Linked DNA regions of Canis lupus familiaris. The protein of the gene in region 2 interacts with the protein of the main gene of each other region in a biochemical or structural test. Links are inferred from orthologs where the notes say so. Each region holds a gene or a part of one and is shown on either strand. Other genes may lie near its edges.

Region 1 (3,500 bases), on a different chromosome or scaffold from region 2:
GAAGTTAGATAATTTTCTTTTCCAGAGTATCTATGAATCTCTGACAGACAGTGCAACATAAAAAACCAAAAACAAAAACCCAAAATAAAACCAAAAACTTAATAATATATTGTGCTTTCCTGTGCTAACTCCCAAATACAGGGCTAGTCCTGAGACCACACAACTTCCTTTACTAATTATGGTAAGGAGGTTTTTTATTTATTTATTTTTTTAATCCAACTAATGAAAGTTATGTCCAGTTTGTCTGATTATTTCTCCAGTTAAAAAAAGTTAGCCATGCATCTCAGCAAATACTGGTGGTGGCTAACAACCGATAAGCATGAGGTCTGTGTAAATAAGAGGATAACTTTCATATTGGGATGACAGTATCATGCGTTCCTTTTCCCTACGTATTTTAACTGGACAGAAATGATTTCACTGGCTGGTCTATCCAAAATCTGATGTCAATGTAATGGGAGTCTTCTATCCCAGCATTTTAACCCCAATAGTACTATTTTCTTAATAAAATACTCCCATAAATTTGACTCCTTGAGTGTATAGAAACAACACACATTGAACTTACAATACCTCCATTTTATCAACAACAAACTCTTAAATGGCAAGACCCAAGCTTTAAACAGGCCTGTGAGAAAGCTTACCTTCCACGTGGCAGCATTGCGTCGAAAGTAAGCAAACATTCGTGTGAACCAGTTATAGATTTCATTTAGTGTTAGCTGCTTTTCTGGAGATTCGAGAATGGCCTATAGAAGCAAAAGTAACAAAAGAAGATAATTTATGACCAAATCAGCAGAATTGTCATTATAGTTTCTTGAAAGTATAAAATAAGCATGATTCAGAGCTAGAGCCCAAGAAAGGTTTCACGAAATGATCTAAGATTAATGGTTGTATTTAACAGTTCAATAGCAAAATTCAAAATGGAATTATCTAATTGTTTTGAGTTTTTATTTCTGTTTCCGTACAGAAATATTAATTTATTAGTCATTCATAAAGCAGAATCAAAGAGAAATGCAAAACATTTCACTAGCTGATTAAAGCTCAGTAATTATTTAGAGCTCAGATTAATTCTAGGGATCAGAGATTACTGTAGCTTGTGATAATTGACTTGCCATCTTTAAACAGGCTCATTTTCACTGTTGTGTGAAATGAATTTCCTAATAATCACATCGTATTGTAATACTTAATCAAAAGCAATTATGTTATATATTGCAGTTTTAAAAAACCTTATAGAAAAGGTTTTAGCATGCTTGCATACTAAACGGTTTTAAATCTACTTCATCAATATATCCATGTACACGTATACCTTTTGATATAATTTCACATACTGTGTTATTTACTTACCTGCCTAATTAAAGATGCATATGTAAATGGTGGTCTAACTTCTGCGTTCTTATAAAATTCTTGGTTCTGCGCAATATCTGCTAAATAAGAATCATTGTCCTATTAATTATCATTTTTAAAAAGAGGCTGGTCTACAAGAATTGCCTATTACAGTTCTGCATAAGGCAAAAATGGGAGTATCTACCTGAAGAAATGGGCACGTTGTATTTGTCTGAGTACCGCCTGCGGATGGGTCCCACCGTATGCATGCTGGTGGTGGTGATGACGGAGGGGCCTTGGGTGACGGGAGTGATGGGGGCGGTTGGGGTCGTTGGAGTATGAGGTAAGCTCTGTGGAGAAGCCTCAGATGCAGACTTGGAGAGTGTGACACTTGATACCAGATTCAGCTGTGAGGAAAAGAAGAATTCTTAGAAGAGCTTCAGAAAAACAGTGAGTAAGCAGGCATCTGAAATCCAGCAGGAATAATGCAGGGGACACCCGGCTAGTTTTACTTCTGTAAGTAGATGCTTATAATTGACTGAAATAGGAGATGAGTTCTCATGTAAAAACAGTTTACATAGTAGTTAGTTCAAAATCTCTCTGGCCATGTTCTCCTGACCTGTTGGGGACACAGGAGTCTTCCAAAGACAGTGGAAAATGAGTGGAGAATGCAGAAAGGGGTGACCTGGCGCAGTGAAGCTTGACAAGATTTGGATCAAAACATTTCTTGAGTCATGACTTCAAACCCTCCTGGGCTGCCTACTGTGCTTGCCAAACCTCAAGGAAGGTGACAGAGTCCTGGTAGCACCAGTGAATACCAACACTGTAGAAGCCATCAGTTGGGATACATTGCTCCAGACCTGAGCTCTCCAACAGCACTTTGTCAATTGTGCTAGCCAGTACGGAACTGTTTTTACTTTTTATCAGAGTTAAACTTTTGTTTAAATAGCCACATGTAGTCAGTGACTGCCACGCTGGCCAGCACAGGGCTAGGCTACTTAACCCCATAAAGAAACTTCACCAATGGGAGCCAACAGGGATACTCGGCCTATGACTGCTACTAAAATCAGTGGCACTGGGGCACCTGGGTGGCTCAGTTGGTTGAGCATCCAGCCCTGCACTGCGCTCTGTGCTCAGCGTGGAGTCTGCTGGAGTCTCTCTCTGAGCCCTGCCCACCCCCCCCCCCTCTCAAATAAATAAATCTTAAAAAAGAGTCTCTCTCTGAGCCCTGCCCCCCCCCCCACTCTCTCTCTCAAATAAATAAATCTTAAAAAAGAGTGGCACTGATCCAATAAGACGTCATGGGGTTATATCAGTTGGCAAAGACTAATCTTTGAAAGCTTAATGTATAATCTTCATTAAACCAAATAGAGGACTGGACTCTATTTTAAAAAATGACATATGAAACACATTGGGAACTGTAAAAATTATTTTTTTCTTCGAGTTTCAAATGCTCAGTAATATAATGGAATTAAGAGAGGAAATGAGTAGTATTTATTTAAAATCATATGAAGGAAAATGAAGGAGTAAGGTTTCCTTCCATTAAACCTTCACCTTGAAGTGCTTCTCTTATTAATACTGAAAAAATGGGCCTGTTCCCCTTACCCTGAATTTGTCCTTCCAGAAATACTAAGTCTGGCTATACTACAGAACTTGGCCATTTACAACATATTATTACAATTTACACAGAATTGGTTATCTCAGATACTTATAGCCGGCCAAGTAAACCTAGGCAAGTAGGTTTATTTGGTAACATGTTCTCAAACCTGATTTTCGATCATTTAACAAAGTAAGTATTTCACTATTGCAGTAGCCCTATGGATAAGGCGTTACTTATGGAAAGTATTCAAAATGGGACTCTTCTGGGATCATAAAGAGGACATTAAAAGTTCCAGTTTGTTGAGAAGATTCAACTCTACTCATACTCTAGTAATGAAAAAGGCCATGAGAATGCCTCTCATATGTTTAGGGTAGTTCCATTAAAAATAATAATAAAATAAAAACAAGGAATTCGAAGAAAAGAAAGATCAAATATTGTTAGGTAAATATTAATGGAGAAAATGTAAACATGGTCCTGCAAAGGGAATGGTGGATTGAAAGCCTGTAGTTGTGCTTTCCTTTTTAACTCCCCTGGTGAAATGCTGACTCAGTTAATGCCAGGCCTTTCCCCCAGCCCCCATGTG
Region 2 (3,976 bases):
TCTGCTTTCAAACGTCTTAAAATCAGCTACCACATCTACCCAGTACCACCTCAAAAAATCCAAATGCTAGTAGACTTGCCTTCTGAAAACAGAAGTGTCTTACCATAGAGTGCTTTTAAGTTTTTTTTTTTTTTTTAAATCTTTAAAATATTTTAGGCCAACCCTCGGCCAGCACATTTTGTTCCCCTTTTCATTTTCAGTTTCCTTTTGAAAATCTCTTTACCGATGGAGGATTTTACCACTGGCACAGTTTTTCAACTGTAATTTGTATGTTGGCTTAGACTCTAAGGTAGAAGGTTTAAAATGAGGTAACTCAACTTTTGCTCAATCTTTGCCCTCAAACGGATCTTTGCTTCTTCCTGCTTCTTTTGGGCTCAGACCAATGCAACAAATCATGGTTGTAAGTTACATGTCTTCCTTTCATTGTGGTGCATACAGCCTTAAGAGGACTTCAAGAGGTTTTCTGTAATAATTTTAATACTTTTTAAAACCTCACCAATTTTTCATTGCTCCTTATACGTGCAGTAATGAATAAAACTGAATGCTTAATCAAAAAGAGAAAAGGGGAAGCTGACATTCATCCCGCAAATGTTTTTATTGGGCCCTTTCTATGAGGAGTGAACTCCATGTGTTCATGAAACTTAAAGCTGGTGGGAAGGCACAGTTAAGTAAGTGCTTGCCACAAAATTTCTGACTGAGGAGAAATAGAGGAGACCCTGGACCTGCTTACTTGTCTTTTCAGGAGGCTTGGAAAGGATTGTCAGTACCAAAGAGCTAGAAGACACTTGCAAATGAGCACGTCAGCTCAGATAATCCAGTAATTCTTTTTAGTGAAAGCATGGTAGAGATGGTTGGCCCATAGTCCTTGACAATCCTTTGGCACTACTAGCCTCCTCTGACCACATACCGGCTTGCCTACAGAATGTGTGTAATGGATTCATGGACTTCAAAATATCAAGGGGCTGCGGACCAGAGAAATGTGTAGATCTCAGTCCTAGATGAACACCCAAAGGTCTGGGAACAGAAGCCCTTCATGAGTCTGAAACCACAAACAAGTTAAGACTGTCCATTCGCCATTCAATCTGTATGCCAGGGTGTACTGGGCACCTCTCAGACAGTTCTGGGCGTGAAGACGCAGCAGTGAGCCATGCTGGTGCCTAGGAATGGTCTCTGACCCCTGGAGCTCCAGGAGAGTGCCAGGCAATTAAAGAAGAGAGCAAATAGATGAAGAGGGACCATAATACCAGTGGAGACTGCAAAAGACAGCAAGGGTGGGGGGGGGGCGGATGTGAGAAAGAGGCTGGGCTTACAGGGGGTGGCTGGCAGTATGAGGAGTCAGGGGTCAGCATGTAGAGGCCATATGCTGAAGAGCCAGCTGGACCATGGTGGCTGGTGGGGTGGGGTGGGGTAGAGGGTGGCATGAGCAATGGCCAGGTGGTTGATGATGCCAGACTCCATATCAACTGAGGGGAAGGAGGTGTCCTGGGTTTCATGCCAATCACAAGGAGAAATTATGGCAGGGTTCTAAGCAGAGGATTGACACATTCTGATTTACCTATTAAAAAAAAACACACGCACAGACTCTCTGGCTGTCACATAAAGAATTGGAGAGGGGAGGATTGTAATCACGCAGGAAACAAATGCTGGTACCTTGGACTAAGGTGGAGACAATGAGAAAGAAAGGTTGGACTCAGCCAGACACATAGGTAAGCCCAACAGAACTTGCTGATGGTTCACAGAATTCAAGGGATGAGGGTATGGGATAGAGGAAAGGCGAACAAGTGAGCTGACTATGGGCTCATTCCCTGACCCCAAAACCTCCTTTAGGGACAAATCAGATGTGAGATTTTTGTTTTTAATTTTTTTTTTTTAATTCTTCAGGGACGGAAGCAAAGATAATTAGAGTCAAATCACAAAAAGCATTTCATGTTAATGTCGTCCCAAATGGCACCTCTTCTAGTTGTCCCTTTAATGTCTGGGTACTTTGTTACCAAGTTGAGGGGCCGGCACCCTCTAGAAAGAGTGTATTCACTGAGAGCCTTGCTGAAGCCTTCGCCACAGGCTGCTGTTTTCTCTGCCTCTCCGACCCCTGCTGATGTGTTCCGGGAGAAAGCTTCCAGGCCTCCAAACGGGCAGGGGCAGGTTGAGCGGGCCAGAGGTCCCCACGCTCTCCCTCGCCACCTCCCCCGGCCCCCCACCTAACCGGGCTCCCCTCTTGGCCCCTTCGCGGACCTGTCGCGTGTCTGCGGAGGAGGGTGGCGGAGACGGCGGATTCCCCCGCAGCGGCGGGAGCGCAGGAGCCCGGCCAGCCCCAGCCCCAGCCCCAGCCCCAGCCCCAGCCCCAGCCCCAGCCCGGCGGGAGGTGCGGGCGCTGCTCCCCGGCACACACGCACGCACACTCGCCCGCACGCTGCGCGCTCGCGCTCACACCCGGCTCACACCCGGCTCACACCCGGCCCGCGCCGGCCCGAAGCAAGGAGCCTTCTCCAGGGGCGGAGGAGACCGTGGTCGCCCGGCCGCGGCTCGGCCTCACTGGTGCTTCTCGCGCCTTCTCCCGGCCGCGGCCCGCGCGGGGTTTCGGGGTGGCCCTCCGGGGCCCGCCGCCTCCCCCACTCCGCGGGGCCGGGGCCGGGGCCGGGGCCGGGGCCTGGGGTCCCCCGCGCCCTCGGTGCCCCCCTCCCCGGGCCACCTGGGCGGAGCACGCGGCCGTCCGGGCGCCGAGGGGGCTGCGGGGGTCCCGGGCGGGGCGGGGCGCGGCGCGGCGCGGGCGGACGGGCGCTTACCTGCGGCGGCGGCGGCGGCGGGGGCGGGCCGGGGCGGCGGGGCGTGGGCCGGGGCCGGGGCCGGGGCCGGGGCGCCGGGGACGCGGGGCTGGGCGCGCGGACCGAGGCCTGGCCGTCCCCTGCCCTCCGCCCCCTGCGCCTCCGGCCGCGCGCGCGGGGGCCGGGCCGGGCCCAGACGCACTTCCTCAATCCTGCGGCCCGCGGGCTGGCGGGGAGCGAGCGCGGGCGAGGGGGGGCTGGCGCGGCGCTGCCGGCGAGCTGCACGCGGGCGCCTCAGTTTCCCCAGCCGGAACGCGGAGGTGCCCCGACGCCGCGCCCCGGAGGCCCGTGAGCCCTCGCAGCGCGCGGACCCCGCCGGGTCTGGGGGCCCTGCCTTCTCCTGTCGGGGCGGGCGCAGCCGCAAGATTGGTCGGTTCTCTGCTCAACGCAGCGTCGTCCACCGTCCCCGGGCTCCGGAGCAAAACCCAAGGGCTAACCTCGGACTTGTATGGGTTAGGCAGGGCCTCGCAGTGACTGTACTCTGACCTACACCTCTGTGCAGGGCAGGATAGAAATAGGTATTTTCTAGCTTTAGAGTTTGGCAAACGGTGCCCCTTCCGTCACAAGAATTTAATTGGGGCTGAATATAGAAAGATGTCACTGTTGGGTGAATCATTTTAAATTCTGCGGGGAGTAGATAAAACATGCTGGAATGTTGGCCATTTATTATGTCTCGACCCGATATGTATGTTCATCACCCGACGGAGACCATTATCCGACGGCATCACAGAGACGCAGGGACGTGCAGCAGGCATCAGACCTGGCTCCGCGTGCCAACCACAGGAAGACAAGCCGGCCCAGTAAGAAGCAGATGGTTCCACAGCCCGGCAGGACCCGCAGCCTAGGCTAGACCTCTCCTGCGCTGCGACTGGAAGGCTCCTGGGACTTTAGCGCAAGTCAGAGACTCGCCACCACCCTCACTGCCATTTCACAAACGCCAGGCAGACGCAGGGCCCCCGCACGACCTCAAGGACACTCTGAGCAGTGGCCCCTTGGCAAGGGCACCACGGGGCAGCTTCGCTTTGCTCCCAAGAGGCTGCGCCTTTAGCTCGCCGGCCACGGAACGCCCTTTGCAAAAGGGTGGGTGCGGTTTTGCAATCCTGTCCTCAATATTTTGGTCCTAATTCCAGTATTCAAAAAGCAGCAATGTGATT
Region 3 (4,076 bases), on a different chromosome or scaffold from region 2:
ACAAGGATGTTCAGAGGGTCCACTTAGCTCAGCTCCTCCAAAACTGCCCTTTGTTTCATTCCAGGGCCCTTTTTCATTACACAGTAGGAAGCCAATTTCTAATATAAAACAATACTGAAGGATTTTCCTTCCTATTTGGTCTGGAGGAAGGTTGTAATTCACACAAGTGAAACTGAATCAGTCACCCAGAGGTTCTGCATGTATCAGAGCACAGGTATGAAAGCAATGAAGCCCAAAGAGCCAATGAACTGGACGTGTGTTCTCTCCTTGAGTTTTGCGCCCTGCTGATAAACCTCAAGTAGTTAAACTGGTAGAGAACTCATTTCTTGAGTTGCCACATCCAGTCATCACCATCTAAGTAATCACAGCACAGACAGCAACCAACCAGTTCTTGGTGGCTGGGAGGGCACATCCCAGCCTGCACACTTCGCAGTTTCACAAAAATTCAAGACGCCTCTACCTTCTTCTGAGTAGATACCCCGCCTCTTATCAGGACCTTCTGGTGCAGTTCTTTTTGCTAGAGTACCGGCTGAGTGACCTCTGGAAACACACTTAACTGTCTGTCTCGGTTTCTTTCTCGGTAAAAGAAAGAGGTTGAGATAAAAGATCTTCATGGGCCTTTCAACTTCAAAATTTCTAACTTGATTTTCAAGTCCACTTTTCTGGTGTCAGATTTCTGATTTAGTGGCTGTTTTCTCTATTTGTCGAGAATCATAGTAACTCAACCTGGTTTTTTCTGACCCTTTAAAAAGGTTTATGAAACCACAGCCTAACCAATCCACTGGATGGGTACACAAAGATCTCAACTTGCTGGGTGAGTCTTATTCTAAAAACAAAGTGTTGGCAATCTGGGTTTAGGCTGCGCTTACAGTGGCTATGTTCAAACTTGACCTTCACTCACAACAAAGGGTGCTGGCAGATTCTGACTGTCCCTGTCTCCATAGGAAGGAGACCTCAAAATGATAGTTTTACACCACACGTAAGATTTACATCCATGCAGACTGCAGTATTTCACCCAATAATGGGCTGAGCAGATACACAAAAAAAAGTATATATAATTATGCCCATCCTGGCTACTTACATACTCTTGGACTAATTTTCAGATAAAAACATACAATTAATTTCTCATAAATGTAAGTTGCCGAATGTTCAACAAACATCTTACTGTTGGGCACCAAACTTTCATCAATATTTTTAACTTAAAAATGCATAGAAATAAAATGGAAGATACAAGCATCTCTTGTAAAATGATGATTTATAAACCACCTCTAATTTTGTGAATTTTTAAATCTTCGAAACAAATGACTAACTCTTCATGGCTTTTTAAAACTTCTGCCCAGATAGCATAACATTACCCTTCCCTTAAGCGTCTATTTGCCTCGCCTTTTATTCCGAAAAAGTTCAAATTCATAGAAAATTAGAAGAGCAGCACAGTTGGTTGTAACCTTTTAAGTTAACAGACGGATTCCAAATTCCTATTTCCAAATTTTCATGCTCTTAAGGGTTCAGCACATAACTTTGCAAATCCGTAAGTGAGGCACACGTCTGCTGCATTCACAGAATTACTTCTGAATTAGTTATTTGTGTATCAGCCACAAATCTTACGTATTTTAATACCATAACAAGGAAGGGAATGTATGCCACTAGGAAAAAAAACAAAAACAAAAACAAACAAAAAAACATTCTGTCTCCTGCCAGTGGGAGGCAACGTCCTAAGGCAATGGTCAACCACTCAACCACGAGACAGTCTCCCATCTTTTAGTTTAGAAACTGCCTGGGAGAAGAACATCTTGTTTTCAACAAATCGGAGCAGAATTTATTCTCATTGAAAAGCGTTTCAAAGAGTAATAGAATTTTAACTGCAGATGCAAAAAAAGGGAGGGGGGGGGATGTAGTCACATCGGCTCCCTGAGTCACTCTGTGCCCGAGACGACTGAAGTCAAGATGCCCCTCGACCGAGTAGAGGGGCTTCAGGAGGCAGAGCTCCTGCGAGGCCCCCACCCCCGCCCCGGCGGAACCGGGGCCTCAGTCCCCGCGGCCGGGCCTCCGGAGCTCAGCGGGCCGCCCTCGGCCCCTCGGAGCCCCCGGGAAGCGGAGGCGGCCCTGGGAGGAGCTCGGCCGCGTCCCCCCCGCCGGGGCTCGCCGGGGCTCGCCGGGGCTCGCCGGGGCGCAGCAGGCCGGCAGGTGCGCCCGGGCCCGCACCCCGCCGTCGGGGGCCGCCGCTCACCTTGGGGCCCTCGGGGGGCACGCGCGGGTCGTTCCACGTCGTGGTGCGGCTGTTGTGGTCCACGAAGAAGGGCCAGCCGGTCTGCGGGTCGATCTTGATCTCCCAGCCGGGCGGCAGCGGGTCGCGGTCGCCGGCGCCGTTGCCGGACGCCATCTGCACCACGGGCGAGTGGGCGGCAGCGCTCATGCCGGGCCGGGGCCGGGCCGGGGTCGGGTCCGGGTCGCGGGGGCCGGGGCCGGGTCGCGGGGTCCGGGTCGCGGGGGCCGGGTCGCGGGGGCCGGGTCGCGGGGGGCCGGGCCTCTAGACGCCGAGGCGCTCGCCGGCCGCTGCGGGGTCGAGAGCGGTGCGCGCCGCCGACGTGTCCGGGAAGCCGGCGCCGGGCACCTTTATGAATTAAAGGAGGGGGTGACGTGGCCCGAGAGGGGTGGAAGTGTCTGGAAATAGCCTCCTCGCTGCCAACCGGGAAGGAGATAAAGGGAGGTAGCAACTGGCCGGCTAGAAACTTCTGGTCCCATCCAGAGAAGTTGGCGGCGAGCGGGTTGGATGCGGAGCTCCGCCCTGAGTCATCGGCTATAATCGGGGCGGGGCGGGGCGGGGCGGGGCGGGCCGGGGCGGGGCCTCGGGGGGCGCCCTGCCCCTCCTCCCTCCTCCTCCTCCCCCTCCCCTCCCTCCTCCTCCTCCCCCTCCCCTCCCTCTTCTCCCCTCCCTCTTCTCCCCTCCCTCCTCCTCCTCCCCCTCCCCTCCCTCTTCCCCCCTCCCTCCTCCCCCCTCCCCTCCCACCTCCCCCCTCCCCTCCCTCTTTTCCCCCTCCCTCTCCTCCCCCTCCCCCTCCCCGCCCTCTCCTCCCCCTCCCCGCCCTCCTCCTCCTCCCCCTCCCTTCCCTCTTCTCCCCTCCCTCCTCCTCTTCCCTCCCCTCTCTCTTCTCCCCTCCCTCCTCCTCTTCCCCTCCCCTCCCTCTTCTCCCCTCCCTCTTCTCCCCTCTCTCTTCTCCCCTCCCTCCTCCTCTTCCCCTCCCCTCCCTCTTCTCCCCTCCCTCTCCTCCCCCTCCCCCTCCCCGCCCTCCTCCCCGCCCTCCTCTCCCCTCCCCCCTCCCGCGCGGGGCCGCGACTGGCCGGCGGGCCTGGCCGCCTGCGGGGCGTCGTCGGTGTGCGCGGGGCGGGTTTCGGTTTTCAGACTCCCTCCCTCGGCTTGGAGCGCAGTGGGTGTTCCCTGGCCTGGGACTCGGGCGCGGGGTGCCTGCTGCCGCTCCTTCCTATAAAAACGAAGTCATCGCGAGCCTTTAAAGTCGTTGCTTTTCACCTAAAGCCTCGCCACTCCCCCCCTTTGCTCCCTTATGAACAAGATCCTCGGGGACACTGGCGTCCCTCAAGTATGTTTTAATCACTTTTCCCCCCCCCAAAGGCCTAAGGAGCTCCCGGAATGTTGATGTGACACCATAACAAAGCCAGGGAGAAAATGCAAGTGCAAATAGAAACTCACCTGCCTTCTTTTCGGAGCCTAAAAAAAGATTGCGTCAGCCCTGGTTTTATGACCCTCAACCTCGCATCTCAGATATACAAACTATCTCATTGCACTGGACAACTTTAAAGACAAATCACCTTTTTTGGGGGTTTGGATCTTTTTTAGGGTACAGGTTCGTTCTTGCTATCTTAAATCTTGACCTTCACTTGGAAGGTAGGGACCAAAGCCAGTCGTGAAAAATTGTTGTTTGGTTGATTCAAGGGGTGGTTGTACTTGTAACCTAAACCAAGCAATTCCGTGAAAGAGCCTGTGGCCCCCGAGGGAGAATTTGTGGGGAGGTTCCATTTCAGATTCTTAGGCAGGCAGATTCATTCCCTTCCCCAGAAAT
Region 4 (3,500 bases), on a different chromosome or scaffold from region 2:
CAGTTGTTTAACCATCTGACTCTTGATCTCCACTCAGGTCTTGATCTCCAGGACATGAGTTCAAGTGTCGTATTGGGATCCACACTGGGCATGGAGCCTATTTTATTTTTTTTTAATTAATTAATTTATTTTTAAGATTTTATTTATTTATTCATGAGAGAGACAGAGACACAGGCAGAGGGAGAAGCAGGCCCCCCACAGAGAGCCTGATGTGGGACTCGATCCTGGGTCTCCAGGATCTGGCCCTGGGCTGAAGGCGGCGCTAAACGGCTGAGCCACCCGGGCTGCCCTTTTTTTTTTTTTTTAAAGGTTTTATTTATTTATTCATGAGAGACACAGGCAGAGGGAGAAGCAGGCCCCCCGCAGGGAGCCCAACACAGGATTCGATCCTGTGTCTCCAGTATCACGCCCTGGGCTGAAGGCGGCGCTAAACCTCTGAGCCACCCGAGCTGCCTCCACAAGGAGCCTACTTAAAAAAAAAAATCCTCACGTTAATATTGTTTTAATTAACATTTCTTTATTGATGAGGATTTCAGACTTTGATAACCCGGAAGTAAGGGTAAAATAGAAGGCAAGCCATTTGACCAGAGTGGGGCTGGGGAAAAGATTTATAAATGTAGTTCTTGCTGTCACGTCTCTGGGGCTTTACAATCCATATTCCTGCCAATATCTAAAGCCTTTGTGAATTCTTAATGTCTGTAATAGGACACAGTGACATTTGTCACTTTAACTTGTCACAGCAAAAGATGGTTAGCAGGATTGGGGTACTTTTTTTTTTTTTTTAAGATTTGAGAGAGAGGATGCACACAAGTGGGGGGTGGAGGAGGGACAGAGAGTAGAGGGAGAAGCAGGCTCCCCTCTGAGCAGGGAGCCCAATGTGGGGCTGGATCCCAGGAACCTGGGGTCATAACCTGAGCCGAAGGCAGACAGTTAACCGACTAAGCCACCCACCCACCCCTCGGGTGCCTCTTTCATTACCAGACTTTCCTTGCTAGCCACCCCACTTATTAGCAGGGCCTCATGCATGGTGTGACTGGGTCTCATCCATCCAGGTTGGCAGTGGAATCCCTCTGACCGGCCCTCCTTTGCTGAAATCCACCAAGCCTTTGAAACAATGTTCCAGGAATCCAGCATATCAGATGGTAAAGTGCCCATTATTCCTGGGATTGCCTGCAGTAGAGTGAGAGGTTGGGATAGAAGGGAGAGCCGGGAAGGACTCCAGCCCTGGCCCTTTAGTTCACTTCCTGCTAGAAGAACCCAGGCCAGTGAGTCACCTGAGCAGAGGTGTTGAATGTGGAGTTGTCTTGCAGCCATGCACAATTCTAAAAAATACTGAGTGTGGTTTTCTCGGCCTGTTTCTCTTTTCTGTGACTGTGCACAGATGACCACTCTTATCTGAGGGGGAAAAAAAAGAATGCCAGCATATTAAACTGATACCTTTACTGATGGCTGTTGATTTTTGGTTTTGGTTTTGTTCTTAGAAGTGGAAAAGGAACTGGGGAAAAAAGGTGTACGAGGGGTTGCAAGTACTTTGCTGCAGGCCCCAGAGCTACCCACCAAGACAAGAACCTCCAGGAGAGCTGCAGAACATAAAGACCCCACTGATGTGCCTGAGACGCCCCACACCAAGGGCCCAGGAGAGACTGGTATGTCCCCCAGCCCCACCAGATACCCAAAGGAGGCTACACCCTCAGGCCAGTGTAAGCAGATGGGGAAGCGGTGAGTGCACCTGCACAGAAGGGCAGGCAAACTCCTTGTTAGTAATCCAGCTTTGAAAAAAGGAAGGTTCTCTCCCCACCACATCTGGCCTCTCCTTCTGGGAATCATCAGGAACCATTGGCTTCAGCGGTTAGTTTGGTCAGGTAGGCACAGGTGCTTATGAAACCGACTGAGAACAAACCCACCTTTTCATGTATTATTCACAACATTTGTGGCTGCTCTTGCAGGGCAGATAGAACAATAATAAATATTGAACCAAACGAAGAGCAGCTTGTTGTGAAAGCACTGATATGAAAAACTCACTGGAACTCAACGGAGCCAGGAAACGCCCGTGGCACAGAGCTGGTGTCCACATGTGGTCTCTGAAAGAAGAATCTCTTGGCCACTGTTCCCTAGATGAGTTGGGGAGGTGGGAGTGGTGCATGGGATTCCAAGGTGCTAGGAGGGGTAATCCCCGAAAACACTGACCTAGCTCCTCCTGTGTGCCATGGTCTCTTTGTTAGGCTGCTCTGAGGTATTGTTATTCTCTCCCCAGGACCCCGGAAATCTGGGTTCATGGAGGCTCCTCGGGGATGCTCTGATAGACCACAGATGAGTGGGTGGGAAGCCAGAATAATGAGATGTTTAGCCATCGCAGGATTACCAATTTTTTTTTTGTGTGTGCACCCATAATAGAAAAAAGTCACATGTGCAGACTATGTATACATACGTACTATTGCACAGACATGTGTATTATAAAACATACCAAAAATGTATACCTAGAAGATTTACATTAAGAAGTAAATCCAAATTATAGGGCTTCCTTTTATAGCCCCCTGGATCGTCTTGCTCACTCACTTTGTGGAGTCCATGGCATATAGTCTCCAGAAGCTCAGACCTTTGTCCTTCTGTTCGTTGTCATGATTTCAGGTAGTTGAGCAGTGGGGATGGGGAGAGGCCCCTGTGGGAACCTCAGGCTGATTAAAAGCCCAGTGATAAGCAATCATGTTCATTTATGCCCGTCAGTATTCATTTTGATACGTAATCTCATGGTGAGCCCAGAGTGTCAATTAGCTGTTCAGCGCTGAAATAGAGCCGTGCATAATTCATTAGAATTTCGCGTTCTTCAACTTTTTCTCCTGGATTAAAGTTTTGGAGGTCCTCAGCTTCCCCTGAGTCAGGTGGCCTGCATGCTGTCTGATGTTCTGATAGATGCCCCATTGTACCTCTGCTCCGGGTGTAGACATGCCCTAGGCTGCTCTGGGTGCTGATAGAAAACTACTCTCCTCACAGCTGCCCTCTGAGGGAGAAGTCTATCATTCACTAAGCCGGGAGCTTGGCAACACCAGAAAGATTTCTTAGGAGCTATTATTCATACATAAAGAATGCCCATTTAAAAATTTGTAAAGGTCACTCTTTCTTGTTTGCCAAGCATAATAGCCTATTGTCACTGTGGTGCACAACCCCTTCCCTTTGGACCTTACCTCCTAGGAATCTCAATTGGCAGGCCCGAAAGGCACAGGGCCTGACCCTTTGCTCAGCCCTGTGGTGGTTTTTACACTCCAGATAGTGGTATTGGAGGGCTCTGTGCTGTCAAGGAAGCCTCAGTACAGGGATGAGGGGCTGGGTTGCCCAGGCTTTCTGTGCTGCTGTCCTGTACCTTTCCTAGAAGTATTTTTTTTTTTAATTTTTTATTTATTTATGATAGTCACACAGAGAGAGAGAGAGAGGCAGAGACACAGGCAGAGGGAGAAGCAGGCTCCATGCACCAGGAGCCCGACGTGGGATTCGATCCCAGGTCT
Region 5 (4,141 bases), about 52 Mb from region 2:
GTGGCCTCCCCCATGATGTCCTGCTCCAAGCACCTGCATACTGACACACAGAAGCTGGAGAAGTTACGCGTGCCTGATACTGCTGCCAACTGAGGCACAGACCAAGAAGGAGTGGTACAGCCTTGGTGCTCAGCTCCCATCCTGGCTCCCGGGCAACACTCACTTGTGGAAGCTCCACCAACAGGTGCACTGCCACTTGCTTCTTTCACCATGACATCCTCAGGACACACTCTACTGGGGGACCTGCACCACCATGTGGGTGACACAAGATACCCCCAGCATATCGCTCACTGGCTCGCATGTCTGGCCAGCTATTGATGGCCCTTCCGTCAGCCACTGTCAGGATCACAGACCACGGGAAGCACCAGGGGCTGCGCCTGCCAAACAGTCAGAACTCCACCAATGTTGTGCTGGTTATCATCGCTATTTTGTACTAGGCGTCAGGCATGATGGGTAAGAGGCTGATGTTCAGGTGACCAAGGTGCAAACGTAGAGGACGCGGTTAGGAGAGCTAAGGGAGGGCAATTAGACGCAAGACTGAACCACCGCTGTGAATACCAGAACCAGCTGTCCACGATGCAGCCCCCCCCAGCAAAGACCTTGGTATTCTGTGCTCTGGGGTGTCTGGAGAAAAGATCCTCCCTGGGTGAGAGCAGTCACAGTAGTCCAGAGGAAGGATACTCAGAACAAGACCACCAAACCACAGGGCTGAGGGCTCAGGCCCACTTCCTGTGTGAAAAGAACTGTGTGCTATATGCTACCCTATCAGTGAGCGACAACTGCCCCACTGTCTTTTTAAATCAACTTTAAAAAATGTACTACACTGGGGATCCCTGGGTGGCGCAGCGGTTTAGCGCCTGCCTTTGGCTCAGGGCGCGATCCTGGAGCCCCGGGATCGAGTCCCAAGTCGGGCTCCTGGTGCATGGAGCCTGCTTCTCCCTCTGCCTATGTCTCTGCCTCTCTCTCTCTCTCTCTCTCTCTGTGACTATCGTAAATAAATAAAAAATCAAAAATAAATAAATAAATAAACAAAAATTAAAACGTACTACACTGTGTATCCCTATAGAGGATGTCCTGACAACCTATGATCCTGTTCCTTCACACCAATCCCAGTGGTTCCTGAAACCTCCAGCCCAGAGTCCTACCGCACAACTCTGCGACTGCCCGTCAACACCAAATGGCCCCTGTGCCCTCTCCAAGGCCAGCACGACAAGACAGGCAGTCTCTCTAAAAGCAGAGACCAGGAGGCAGAGGGGTGGAGGGCAAGGCAGCAGCTGGCCCGGAGTTAGTGTGCAGTCTGCCATCCCTGGCCCCAGAGAGAACACCAAGGACCCACATTAGGTTCATCAGAAGCCACTGACACCACACATGGCCCACAGTGTTCCAGCACACACACAACTCGTTACCCGACAATCACAGGACAGCCCTGAGGACTTGTTCCACCTTCTGAAGAGCTGCCCACACGCCACCTCATCCACACTGCTAGCAGGGTGGCCAGAGTCAAACAATCACTAGTGAGGTGGACTCCTGTCACGTGGCAAAACCCTCGTCTTGGCAGAGCGATCACCTGTCATCTGGACGGTAGGAAGCAAGCAAGAGCGCACAAAATCCAGAACTAGGAAACATTAAGAACGTATCCTAGGATCTGCTTAGACTGAGCATCTCTGACATTGGAATTACTTCCAAAAAACTTGGTTTTCCTTTTAAATGAAAGCTTAAAACCAATTTTCAAAGGATTGGGATGCTATCAGGATCCCACAACCCATTTCATGCTACCGATGAAAAATGATGCTTTTTCCCCTAAACCATCTGAAAGCAGAATCTGGTCCACCATAAACTCATCTGGGGGCAACACGTGACATGAACTGAGGGGGGTGGGGCTCTTTAAAGGCTTAATTACCCTACAGTAAAGACACTCGCTCACTGAATTGGGGACGTATGATTTATCTGGTTATTAAACCCCTTCCCAACTCCTGTAGGAATATCCCGGGATACACAGGGTGTTGCACTCTTGATCTTTCTGAAACCCGAAGAATTCTGAAGTCGTCAACGTCTTTTCCCGAGGGTTTTGGGTTCGGAGCCTTCCCCGCCGTTACAGGAGACAGCACGCGCTCCGACGGCCTCGCTTGCGGGGCTGCGGCTTTCCCTGAAAGGCTTCCTGTGGGTTTCCGACCGTTCCAGTTCAGTAAGAGGCCGCACCAGCCTGAAAGGCCACGAGGCTCCGGCCACGTCTGTAAAGAGGAAACCTCCGGCCCTAATCGCGCCGCAGGTATTTTTATCTCCCGGCCTGCCCAGAGCGCAAAGGGAGTGCGTTCTTTTGCACCACCGTGTGGGCCGGTCCCATTTCCTCGTTCCTCTTCCTGGTGAGCCTCCCGCTCCGCTCCACACGGCCCACCCGTCCTCCTGCCCTCCTGCCCTCCTGCCCGAGGCGGGCATCCTCCCCGCGGCCCGGCCCGCCCCGGCGCCCGGACTGCGCCGCCCTCCCGTCGCTGGGGCGTTGGGGCGTGCGTCTAACTCCAGGTTCCGGAGGGCAAAATCCACCTACTGTCCACCGTGAATCTCGTATTAAAAACCCGGCACAAGTGTTCGGTGTTGTCGGAGCACAGGCCCCGACGGCGGCGACGGCTGCAGCGCCCCGGGGCGGCCGACAGCATCCGGGCGTCAGCGGCCCCCGCCTCTGCGTACCGGATCGCACCCAAACCTGCGCTCTTCACCCCGGCCTTGGGGGAAACACGCATATGGGAACGCTGCAGCCGGACACCCCGCGGGCCTCCGGGCGCGGCCGCCGGGACGCTCGCCGGCCCGCGGCCCCACACGCGGCAGGAGCCCGAGGCCCGGGCTGGTCAGGCGGGCGCCCCCGCACCTTGCAAGGGAATCCCGAGGGGGCCGGCGGCGGCGCCAGGAGCGGGGGCGCGGGGCAGCGGGGCCGGCGTCACCCCGGGGCTCCCGGACGCCGCCGCGGACGCGCACTGGGCGGCGGGCGGCGGGCGGCGGGCGGGGGAGGCCGCGGGCCCGGCCCTGCGCCCCCCGCCCACCTCCCGGGAGCGCGGGACCCCCCCGCCCCGCCCCGCCCCCCCGCCCGCGCCTCACCCTCCGCCAGGACCCGCCGCACCCGCAGCCGCAGCTCGCCCAGCTCCACCGTCTGCCCCACGAAGTCGCTCTGGTCGCGGCCGGCGGCGCCGCCCAGGGAGCCCGGGCCCGCCAGGAAGTCCAGCGCAGACTGCAGCAGCGACATGGCTGCGGCCCGCGGCGGGCGCCCGAGCGGGGAGCCCGGGGCCAGCTGCGTCCCGGCGCGCTCAGCAACCGCCGGCCCGGAGCCGCACCATCTTCCGCCCCGACGCCCTGACGTAGGCCCGCGGGGGCGCGGCGCAGCCCGGAAGAGCGCCGGCGCCTTACTTCCGCCGCGCCGGGCCGGTGCGCGTGCGCCGGGAGGGTGCTCGAGCGCGGAGCCGGGGCCGCCCAGCGCGCCTGCGCCGGGAGGGTGCGCCTGCGCGGCGCCGGGGCCGCCGACTGCGCCTGCTCGGCGCCGCGGCTCCGGGGACGGCTTCCGGTCGTCGCGCTCCGGGCGGCCGCGGCAGGGAGCGGGCAGGCGGAGAGAGGCCTGGCTCCGGGTCGGCGCCCGCTGTCCCCCAGGCGGCCGTGCCCGCGGACGCTCCCCGTGCGGCTGCTCCGCGGCCGTGCGCCACGCCCCCGGCTCGGTGTGCGGGGCAGCGTGAGGGCTCGCGTGTCCCGGGAGCCGGAGAAACCGAGCACAGCGCGGGCTGCGGCCGCCGGAGGGGCGGATCCAGAGCCCCGACGCCGGGTGGCGCGATCAGCAGCCCTCGGGTAAGACGTTCCCCGCTGAGAACACGCGCTCCCCGGGGCCGCCTCTCGGCCCGGGCCGGGGGGCGGGGGAGCCGCGGCGTTCCAGCCCCGGGGACGGGGACGGGGACGGGGTGCAGCCGGTGTGTCCCCGTGTGCAGGGTCAGGGCGCGGGAACCAGTCCTGGAGGCACAGGTGTGTCCCCATGTGCAGGGTCAGGGCGCAGGAACCAGGCCGGGCTGGCACAGTGTGTCCCCGTGTGCAGGGTCAGGGCGCGGGAACCAGTCCTGGAGGCACAGGTGTGTCCCCGTGTGCAGGGTCAGGGCACAGGAACCAGGCC
Region 6 (4,209 bases), on a different chromosome or scaffold from region 2:
ACCTAGGTGGCTCAGCGGTTGAGAGTCTGCCTTTGGTTCAGGCCCTGATCCCCCGTTTGGGGATCGAGTCCTGCATTGCGCTCCCTGTGAAAGGCCTGCTTCTCCCTCTGCCTGTCTCTGCCTCTCTCTGTGTATCTCTCATGAATAAATAAATAAAATCCTTAAAAAATAATTGAACAAATTTTTTTAAATGTGAAATCAGTGTTTTTATTAACTACTAACATTGCCAAAGTATTAATAGTCATCAGATTTGGGCAGACAGAAATATTTTTCTTTATCGCTCTAAATAATTTATAGCTCATGTTTGTTATTGCAGGACAGTCCTGTTTCTCTGACTGAGATTTTTTCAGACCTGTTTTTGATGGAAAGGAACTAAGGTCTCCTTATAAAAGTGCATTATGCATCTCAGTGAGACATTTAAGTTCTGTATTTCTTCCAACTGAATCTGTGACAGCAAAGTACTAGCCAAAGACACATTAAATCCCCAAAAGTAGTTTAACTTATTTTTGTATAAAGTAAGATTCAGGAGGCACCAAAGAAAACCCAAGGATTCTAAAAGTGAAATAGTCAGGCGGTAGAAAATCTTCAAATTATATTGTATGATAAACCTGAAAATAATTTCTGAAGTATTATATACCACAAGACTATCAAACTAAGGTTTGATTCCAGAATAAAAATATAGCTATAATTTAAAAAATTAAGCAACCTCATCTGGGCAGAAACTACTTTACCCTGTACAATATGGGTGTCACATAACTACTTCACTCATATTAAATTTTTAGAGTGCCCAGTAGCTATTATAGAAAGGTATGGATTTCCCTTCAGAAGCTCTTCAGGGTAGGAAATGAGCCAGATGGTTTCCTGAGGTTTTCTTCAGTCTTGTGATTTTGCTAGATAATAAACTTTGCTTGACGGCTACCATGTTTCATTTCCAGGCATTTGTGAAGACAGAAATGGGGAATGACTGCTAATGGGCATAGGTGTTTCTTTCTGGGCTAATGAAAAACTTCTGACATTTGATAGTGATTACAGAATCTGTGAATCTAAATTATGCACTTTAAAAGTTTTATGGTGTGTGAATTACAGTTCAATAGTTTTTTAAAGAATATAATATCTATTTTAGCCGATATTAAAATATGAGCCCTTCTTAAAATATTCTCTTGCATAAAGGATCTCTAAATGTTCTGCCACTATATTAAGTAAGTCTCACAAATGACACTGTCTTGCAGTCTAAAGCACAATGTATAGCTGTAGCATTTTAAGTGATTTCTTTCTGAAAATATTTTTGACCGGAAAGGACTCTAAATATTCATTTAGTTTTCTTTAAGAACACTTATAGGCAATTTATAAGTTACAAGAATGTTAGAAATTTCTGAATGTATGTGGCTTGCAAGAAAATAAATTACCACTGGCTTTCATTTTGTGTCTTTACATTTGGGAATCTAGCAATTGCTGTCAATGAAAGCTTCATATTCATGGATGGCAATACTTCAGTTCCAGTTAGGAGTCTCAATCTCAGATAAGAACAATATCCTATGAGGTTATTAAAACAGCCACCGAAAATCTCCAGTTTAATCTGGTGATAGCATACATACTTCTCAGTGGTCTAGTGATTTTACTTCAATGCACACACACACACACACACACACACACACATTTTTTCAAATCTCCAGAGATAATTTCTTCAAGATTCAGAGTAGTTTGAAAGATTAGTCCTACAATCTTCCATACATAAAGAGATACTGTCAAATATCTACTACTTAAAATTTCTTTCTCCCAATTGACTAAAAAGATTTTTTTTTACTTCTTCAAGGATATCTTTGTGGTTATTTTATCCTTGTTATTTTCTTGAAGTACAAAAGTCAAAATATCTACTGCAATTTCCATTAATAACTTAAAAATGGATGGATTTGGGTATGAGATTACCTCTTCTCAGAAATGGAACTATAAAATACCCCCCAAAATGACATTAAACTTGTACATACATATACATGAACACACACACATAGATGAATATGTTAAGAAAAAGATATGATATCTTAAATACATACGAGACTTACTTTCATCTCCTCATGTTTAAATAATAATAATAAGGGAAATTATATCCCAGGTGCCAACTAATACAAGTACTCCTGTGTCTCCGTAGTTCCCTGGCTTTAAAAAAACCGAACAGATACTTAATTCCAGTTACATATTAAGGTTTTGGGAGCATCTCTTTAGACAGGTAGAGAAGGCAGAGAGCGTGACATTTTACAAGTAAGCACAAAATGTGGGGTTTCCTTGGAGGCACAGGCACGTTTCTATCTACAGAAAAACTCAAATATGAAAAAAACTGAGACTCTTCTGGTTGGGCTAGGAAGCCCTCTGGCTTTTTCCAAGTCAGACGATGAAGCAGAGAGTTTCGGGAATTAATCATCTCAAGCAAGAAGGAGAAATCTTCCACCCAACCCTTCCTCTCCCCCAGTATCTATCTACAAGCCTACGGTCCCCAGCGGCCGAGAGAACGCGGCAAGCGCTGTCCGCGGTGCTGATCAGCCCGCGGAGCCCACTCACCGGCCACCACTGCAGCTCCCAGGAGGCAGAGAAACACTGCAGGCTGCATGGCTCCGCTTGCCCGAATCTGCACGAAGAGGATGGCGGCTGGACCTGTGAGTGAGATGCGGGCAGAAGGCAAGATAAAGATGCTCCGGGAAAGCAGCTGTGTGTCCAGGTCCCCGCGGTGTGGCGCGGTTGGCGCAGGACCCGCTCTTTTAAAGGGCAAGCCGAGCCGGGCCCGCAGGGCCAGGAGGGGTGGGAACCCACCCAGGAGGCGGCGCCCCCTCGCTCAGCACTGACGTCACGACCCCCACCCCCACCCCCACCCCCCCGCGGGCCTCGGCGCAAGTAGAAGGAAATTTACGCCAGTTCAGTGTCCTGGGTGCTTGGGGTCTGGAGCGGGGCTGGGGAGTAAGGCGGGCGTAGGAATGAAAGGGTGAGGAGAGAGTGCAAATGTGACGCGAGAGGAGAGACGCAGGTCCCTCTTAGATTGCCCAAGCTTGGTCATCTTGGTCCATCCCACCTCCAAACCTGAAAACGTGTGTTTGAGGTTGTGTATGGTATGCGGTTTTGTTGAGAATGTGTCTAGGGCTAAGTCTGTTTTGTGTCTTTACTGCCCAGCGGAGGATAAGACTCCTGCTAACTGAAGAGGACTACATGGTGGGGGGACGTGGCAAAAGAAATAAGGGCTTTAAAAGCAAAAGATGCAGCTGGAAAATATGAAGCCTGCTGTTCCTTCACATTTTTAGTTTTAAATCTGTCTACCTACCCATTATTCTGTGTCTACCTACCTACCTACCTACCTATGTACTATTTGTGATTCTCTGTCTTTCTCTCCCTCTGAACACATAACATAGGGTTTAATATAAATGTCTCCCTTCTACCTCTATTTCCCCAGGTTCCCTAATTATCCTCTGCAGAGTCTATACTACTTAACCACTTTCTGTTGTTTAGCATTAATTTATTTTGAAACATACACAGCTTTATCTTTTTTTTTTTGAATGGCTGCATTATATTACATTGACTGTATTAGCTAGAATTTATTTAACTAGTCCCCTTTCTGATGGACATTTATTTAGGTAGTCACCCTTTGGCCTTTAATTACTCCTTTATAACAGAGGCCTAGGGACAGGAGTGGGTAATGAAATACTAGAGTCTACTGCTTGTAGACTCTAGTCTAGTACATCCCATAAGCACTGTGCATCCTTTCTCGCTTTAAAAACAAAATAGGAAGGTATTTCATTATTATGTGCGAGAAGAAGGTGAAAACATCTTCCAGGATATTTTTTAAATGAGTTCTTTCGGCCTAATGAGGAATCAGGAAAAAGAAGCAGGCAAATGAAACACCAAATGAAACAATCCAGAATCTTCTCTGATAACACAGGCTTTGGGCAATAGAGTGAACCTTCATTTGAGGTTTTTTTTTTTTTTTAGGGAAGGCAGATGTCTGCATGCACAGCTAACGGAAGTTTCAGTGTCTTTTTTCCTGAAAATCAATGACGCTCAAATTCTTTATGCATGCACTACATCTTGAAAAGCTGGGAATGATTTCCCTGAGACCATGGCCACAGAATATTTAAAAGAATAGTCCTGAAAAGGATATTAGTGGGACAACTGGTAGAATTTGAATAAGATCTGTAGATTGCATGATAAATATTGTATCAATATTAATTT
Region 7 (4,139 bases), on a different chromosome or scaffold from region 2:
TTTCTTTTTTTATTAACTATGGAAACTTTAAATAAATACAAGGAAGAAAATAAAATTGTCCAACTTGATAGAAAACAAATTTACCTATAGTTTCATCATGCTACCCTATGAATGTACCAACTTGATATTTGGGGCAAGAGGAGATTAATGTATTTGGTATCTTACTTTTCTTTACCATTTTCTGAGCATTTTTCTTTGTTATTAACAGTTTTCAAAAATATGTTTTTAATAGCTGCAAATACTATAGGCTATATATAATTTTAATGTTTTTATTATTTTTGACAAACTTTATGATTATAAATTAATGTACATAAATCTTTATTTGCATACTTGATTATATCCTCAGCAGAAGATGCATAAAGTGGAATCACTTAGTCTATATGCATGTGTATTTTATGATACTTGATGTATGTTTCAAAATAGACCTATACAAAGATTACATTTTCTTACTATTATTGTAGTATTGATACTATTATAACATTCTGAGACATTAAGTAGACTTAAAACATCCACCAAAACTGCACCTTGGTGCCATTTTAAATTATGTATATATCTATTTATTGGTGAGGTTGATTTTTTAAAATATATTTATTATGCATCCACCTTTCCTTAGTGGGAATTCTTTGTAACTTGCTCTTTCTCCTGTTTCCTCTTAAGCCATTAGTGTTTTTCTTTTGATATATGAGATATTTTCCATATGAAAGATATAGTTGTTGAAATTTTTCCAAATAGTCATTTATATTTATCCTTTCAATATTTTTGCACTTGAAAGTATTTTTATGCATTCGATCTTATTGATCTTTGGGTGCGGTGGTTGCTTCTGTTCCTCTTAAAAAAGCTTAAAAAAGCTCCTCTATCAGTAAAATATTTCATATGTTCTTCTAGTTTGTTTTTAAAAATAATTTTACTTTTTTATTTAGTCCTTTAATCTCTGCATATTTAATTTTGGTGCAATGAGGCTTAATTTGAGACTTTTCCAAATTGTTCATTTTCTCACGACCTTTTGTTAATAAAATAATCCTTGCTTTCCCCCCTAGGTCTGTGATACTTTCTTTTTCATTTGTTAAATTTACACACACACACACACACACACACACGCACGCACACTCACACGCACACGGGTCTGTTTCAGGGGCTGCATTGATCTGTTTGAAAGATTCTGGTTTTAAGATTGGTGGTAGTTGGTGGGGCTGAGGAGTGACGGTTCGGGTACTCTTTGCCCCGAATGTTACAAAATCACACTAATTCTTGGTATTGTCTTGATGGAACGGGAAGAGCAGCGGTGAGGAGGCCTTTAGGACCCAGGGGAAAGCCAGGCTGGGTATAGAAGGACCGAGTCTCCGGCGCACACGCCTCCTACCAAAATCACAGCCCCGTGGAGCCGGGGCTCTCATTCACAGCTTTCTAGAGAAATCTGAGCCCGAACCTGCCAGAATAGGGGATCTCACCCACTCAGCTCAGCAACGAGGACACCTGCAGAAACACATTCCTAAAGCAAGGCTGAGCGGCTGTGTGAAGGTATTTGTTGCCTCTTTTCTACCTTCTGTATTTGCAGCGCCTCCCCGCCTTTCCCCCCAGCTCGTGCGATGCCATGGCTGCGGCGATTCAGCACTCGGGTGCGCGGACAGCTCCCATCCGCAATCCCTCCGCTCTCCATCCCTCCGCACCCCACTTTCCACGCCTCCGCGGTCCATCCTCCTGCTCCCGGCGCCCGCTCAGCCTGCGCTCCCTCACACCATCAGCACCCCCATCTCTCCACCATCACCGTCATGCTCTCCACCATCACCAGCGCCGTGACTACAGTCCACACAACTGTGTCTTGTCACTTAGACAAAGCCCGAGGTCCGCAGGGTTGAGCAAAAGAACCCAAGTTTTCAGGCACAGGAAGGAAAGTTCAGGTGGACGACACCCTTGAAAACAAAGAGACGCCTGCTTGAGAGAAAGGGAAAGTGAAGCCAGGACACGGAGAGACCCAGGGCAGGGGGACAGATGGGGCACTTGCCAGACACCAGCAGTTAGCCAGCTGCCTTTCAGCAGATTAGGGGCTGTGTAGTTCAGGAAATTAACATGGCCTGGGGTGTAGCGTTATTCCGGTAAAAGAGATATGTAAGCTCAATCCATGTTTCTGGTTTTCCAATGGAGAATCACCAGGAAGCAGGGTGGGGGTGACTGATGACTCATATTCACCCACACATGCCAATTTTCCTTCCTAAGCGTTTATTACAGAAACTCTGGAATTAAGTTTTTTACTGAAATGTTTTGTAAAATGAAGAACCCAAAGATTAACTCTGTAGCCAGAGTAAAAATTAAAATATTGGTGATTGGTGACCTAACAAATGTGGCTCTCACTGGAAAGTGCTATTTGCTCAAATGTCTCTTCCTGTCTACTTATTTCAATTTTCCCAATCTTAAACCTCTCCTTGAAGGAGAGAGGATAGACCCCTTGCCCAAAAGGCCAAAGTAGTAATGATATTCAGAGCAGATGGCCTGTCTTTGTTCATCACTAGTCAAGGACTGACTCGGATTTGGAAAGCGAGATTTTTGTGTGCTTTCTCAGTAATCAGGCGATAACACCATTTTCCCATAATAGTAAAGGGTAATAGAGTGCAAAAATTGAAAAAGCATTTTATATAACTGTGTTCTGCGAGGCTCTGTTTTAGAGTGCCATCATTTTCTATCTTAGCTGAAGGGAAGTTGGAACATCTTTCAAATATCTTGAAGGTCCAAACCCAAGTCATAGCACCTCTTTAATTTATCCAGGATCATCTATTTTATAAGAGCTGACAAACATCAGAAAATAAGTACCTGAGCTTGTCATAAATAAAAATATTTCAATGAGTAACCATTTAATTAATCATTACTGAACAGCAAAGTGTTGGGTGGGTGGTGTGGGTTGCTTTTTTTTTTTCATAAAATTAACATCTTAATTAAAAATGAGATGAATCACATTTTCATAGAAGAATGGTGTCAGGTCACATGTAACAAGTTTAAACCAGAGCACAGAAAAGCCTCATTTAAAATTCACTCTTGTACATTTATTCTACTTCCTTAAAAAGAAAAAGAGTCAGTAAAGCAAGTTTTGTCTAAACTGGCTCACTAATTTTGTCAGAAATAAAAAAACAGTCATGAACAAGTAGCTCCTGAAAAAAGTTTTGAAGAAAAATTTACACCAAATACTCTTCTGGAATGAGTGATAGTTGCATTTTTTCAAAAGTTACTTACTGCTATTAATTACATAAACATTGGCATAATTCGATTTGCCTCTAAAATTCACTCACTTTTGAACTCAAACTGAGAAAACTAGTGAAAGTATCTAGTGAAATGGTTTTTAGAGAAGAAGAAAATTTGCTCATATGTACCATCCTTAGGTTGGTAATGTTCACAAGACCCCTCAAGTCCCAAAGAAACAAGATTCTTAATATTCCCTTATCTGCTTGCAAATAGTGGTTCATCCCAGATAATTTTTTAAAGTGTACATGTTGCCAGTTCTAGCTGCTTCAAACCAGAAACCCAGGCCAGGAATCCACTGTCTCCAATGCTGCCGTCTTCCTATGCTAAATACAATTTTCTGAGGTTGGGGAAAATTTCAAAACAATGCTGCTTTGGTGAGATTTACAGGCATCTGTCTCAGAAGTGATGACTTTCTTTGATGAAATATTATGATAGGCTTATTAATTTTTATAGAGTGCTACTATCCTGGCTTCTTCTTCTATTGTCTTTTCTATTAAGGGCTATTTTACTTTTTCCAAATTTTCATTAACATGACTTTCGCATTTTTATAATGGATTTAAAGGTGAATCAAAAACATATTTTCCATCAGAGTGGTATTATACACTTTTGTAAACATGTTCCCAGAGGGGCATATTCCTTCAGAATCATGGAGTGTAAAACTGGTAAATTTTTATCTCCCAAAAGGAAGAATCAGGAACTCTTCAGAACTAGTGGTGTCTGCTCACTTTTGCAAGCTTTACCAAAGAGCACCTTATTAACCCTGCAAAGTCTATTCGTGACTTTACACACTTCCTCAAAGCAGAGTCATCCTTAGTTAATGGATTCAGACTTGGATTTTCTCTTCTTTCCCATTATATGGTGACTGAGACAGGAGGTAACACAGCAAAATGAGTATATAAAATATGAAG

The links.
Region 1: the proteins of LRRK1 (region 2) and FOXP1 form a complex in vitro, tested with the Homo sapiens proteins (2 studies listed by BioGRID and IntAct, with this or other methods). The link is inferred for Canis lupus familiaris from reciprocal best matches to the Homo sapiens genes LRRK1 and FOXP1.
Region 3: the proteins of LRRK1 (region 2) and BAG3 form a complex in vitro, tested with the Homo sapiens proteins (2 studies listed by BioGRID and IntAct, with this or other methods). The link is inferred for Canis lupus familiaris from reciprocal best matches to the Homo sapiens genes LRRK1 and BAG3.
Region 4: the proteins of LRRK1 (region 2) and ABL1 form a complex in vitro, tested with the Homo sapiens proteins (2 studies listed by BioGRID and IntAct, with this or other methods). The link is inferred for Canis lupus familiaris from reciprocal best matches to the Homo sapiens genes LRRK1 and ABL1.
Region 5: the proteins of LRRK1 (region 2) and GAK form a complex in vitro, tested with the Homo sapiens proteins (2 studies listed by BioGRID and IntAct, with this or other methods). The link is inferred for Canis lupus familiaris from reciprocal best matches to the Homo sapiens genes LRRK1 and GAK.
Region 6: the proteins of LRRK1 (region 2) and CHGB form a complex in vitro, tested with the Homo sapiens proteins (2 studies listed by BioGRID and IntAct, with this or other methods). The link is inferred for Canis lupus familiaris from reciprocal best matches to the Homo sapiens genes LRRK1 and CHGB.
Region 7: the proteins of LRRK1 (region 2) and CLVS1 form a complex in vitro, tested with the Homo sapiens proteins (2 studies listed by BioGRID and IntAct, with this or other methods). The link is inferred for Canis lupus familiaris from reciprocal best matches to the Homo sapiens genes LRRK1 and CLVS1.

Annotation. Positions count from the first base shown.
Region 1 is NC_049241.1:21,134,844-21,138,343, reverse strand, and holds part of FOXP1 (forkhead box protein P1), read right to left. Parts: intron 1,725-3,500; coding exon 1,523-1,724; intron 1,419-1,522; coding exon 1,339-1,418; intron 741-1,338; coding exon 639-740; intron 1-638. UniProt on the Homo sapiens protein: Transcriptional repressor. Can act with CTBP1 to synergistically repress transcription but CTPBP1 is not essential. Plays an important role in the specification and differentiation of lung epithelium.
Region 2 is NC_049224.1:40,487,969-40,491,944, forward strand, and holds the start of LRRK1 (leucine-rich repeat serine/threonine-protein kinase 1), read right to left. Parts: upstream 2,801-3,976; 5' UTR 2,784-2,800; intron 1-2,783.
Region 3 is NC_049249.1:30,090,939-30,095,014, reverse strand, and holds the start of BAG3 (BAG family molecular chaperone regulator 3), read right to left. Parts: upstream 2,801-4,076; 5' UTR 2,414-2,800; coding exon 2,228-2,413; intron 1-2,227. UniProt on the Homo sapiens protein: Co-chaperone and adapter protein that connects different classes of molecular chaperones including heat shock proteins 70 (HSP70s), e.g. HSPA1A/HSP70 or HSPA8/HSC70, and small heat shock proteins (sHSPs), e.g. HSPB8.
Region 4 is NC_049230.1:53,214,157-53,217,656, reverse strand, and holds part of ABL1 (tyrosine-protein kinase ABL1), read left to right. Parts: intron 1-1,052; coding exon 1,053-1,142; intron 1,143-1,481; coding exon 1,482-1,646; intron 1,647-3,500. UniProt on the Homo sapiens protein: Non-receptor tyrosine-protein kinase that plays a role in many key processes linked to cell growth and survival such as cytoskeleton remodeling in response to extracellular stimuli, cell motility and adhesion, receptor endocytosis, autophagy, DNA damage response and apoptosis.
Region 5 is NC_049224.1:92,182,215-92,186,355, reverse strand, and holds the start of GAK (cyclin-G-associated kinase), read right to left. Parts: upstream 2,801-4,141; 5' UTR 2,739-2,800; coding exon 2,546-2,738; exon of another isoform or gene 2,542-2,545; intron 2,364-2,541; exon of another isoform or gene 2,116-2,363; intron 228-2,115; exon of another isoform or gene 213-227; coding exon of another isoform or gene 164-212; intron 1-163. UniProt on the Homo sapiens protein: Associates with cyclin G and CDK5. Seems to act as an auxilin homolog that is involved in the uncoating of clathrin-coated vesicles by Hsc70 in non-neuronal cells. Expression oscillates slightly during the cell cycle, peaking at G1.
Region 6 is NC_049245.1:16,376,505-16,380,713, forward strand, and holds the start of CHGB (secretogranin-1), read right to left. Parts: upstream 2,801-4,209; 5' UTR 2,603-2,800; coding exon 2,554-2,602; intron 1-2,553. UniProt on the Homo sapiens protein: Secretogranin-1 is a neuroendocrine secretory granule protein, which may be the precursor for other biologically active peptides.
Region 7 is NC_049250.1:12,131,746-12,135,884, forward strand, and holds the start of CLVS1 (clavesin-1), read left to right. Parts: upstream 1-1,339; 5' UTR 1,340-1,518; intron 1,519-4,139.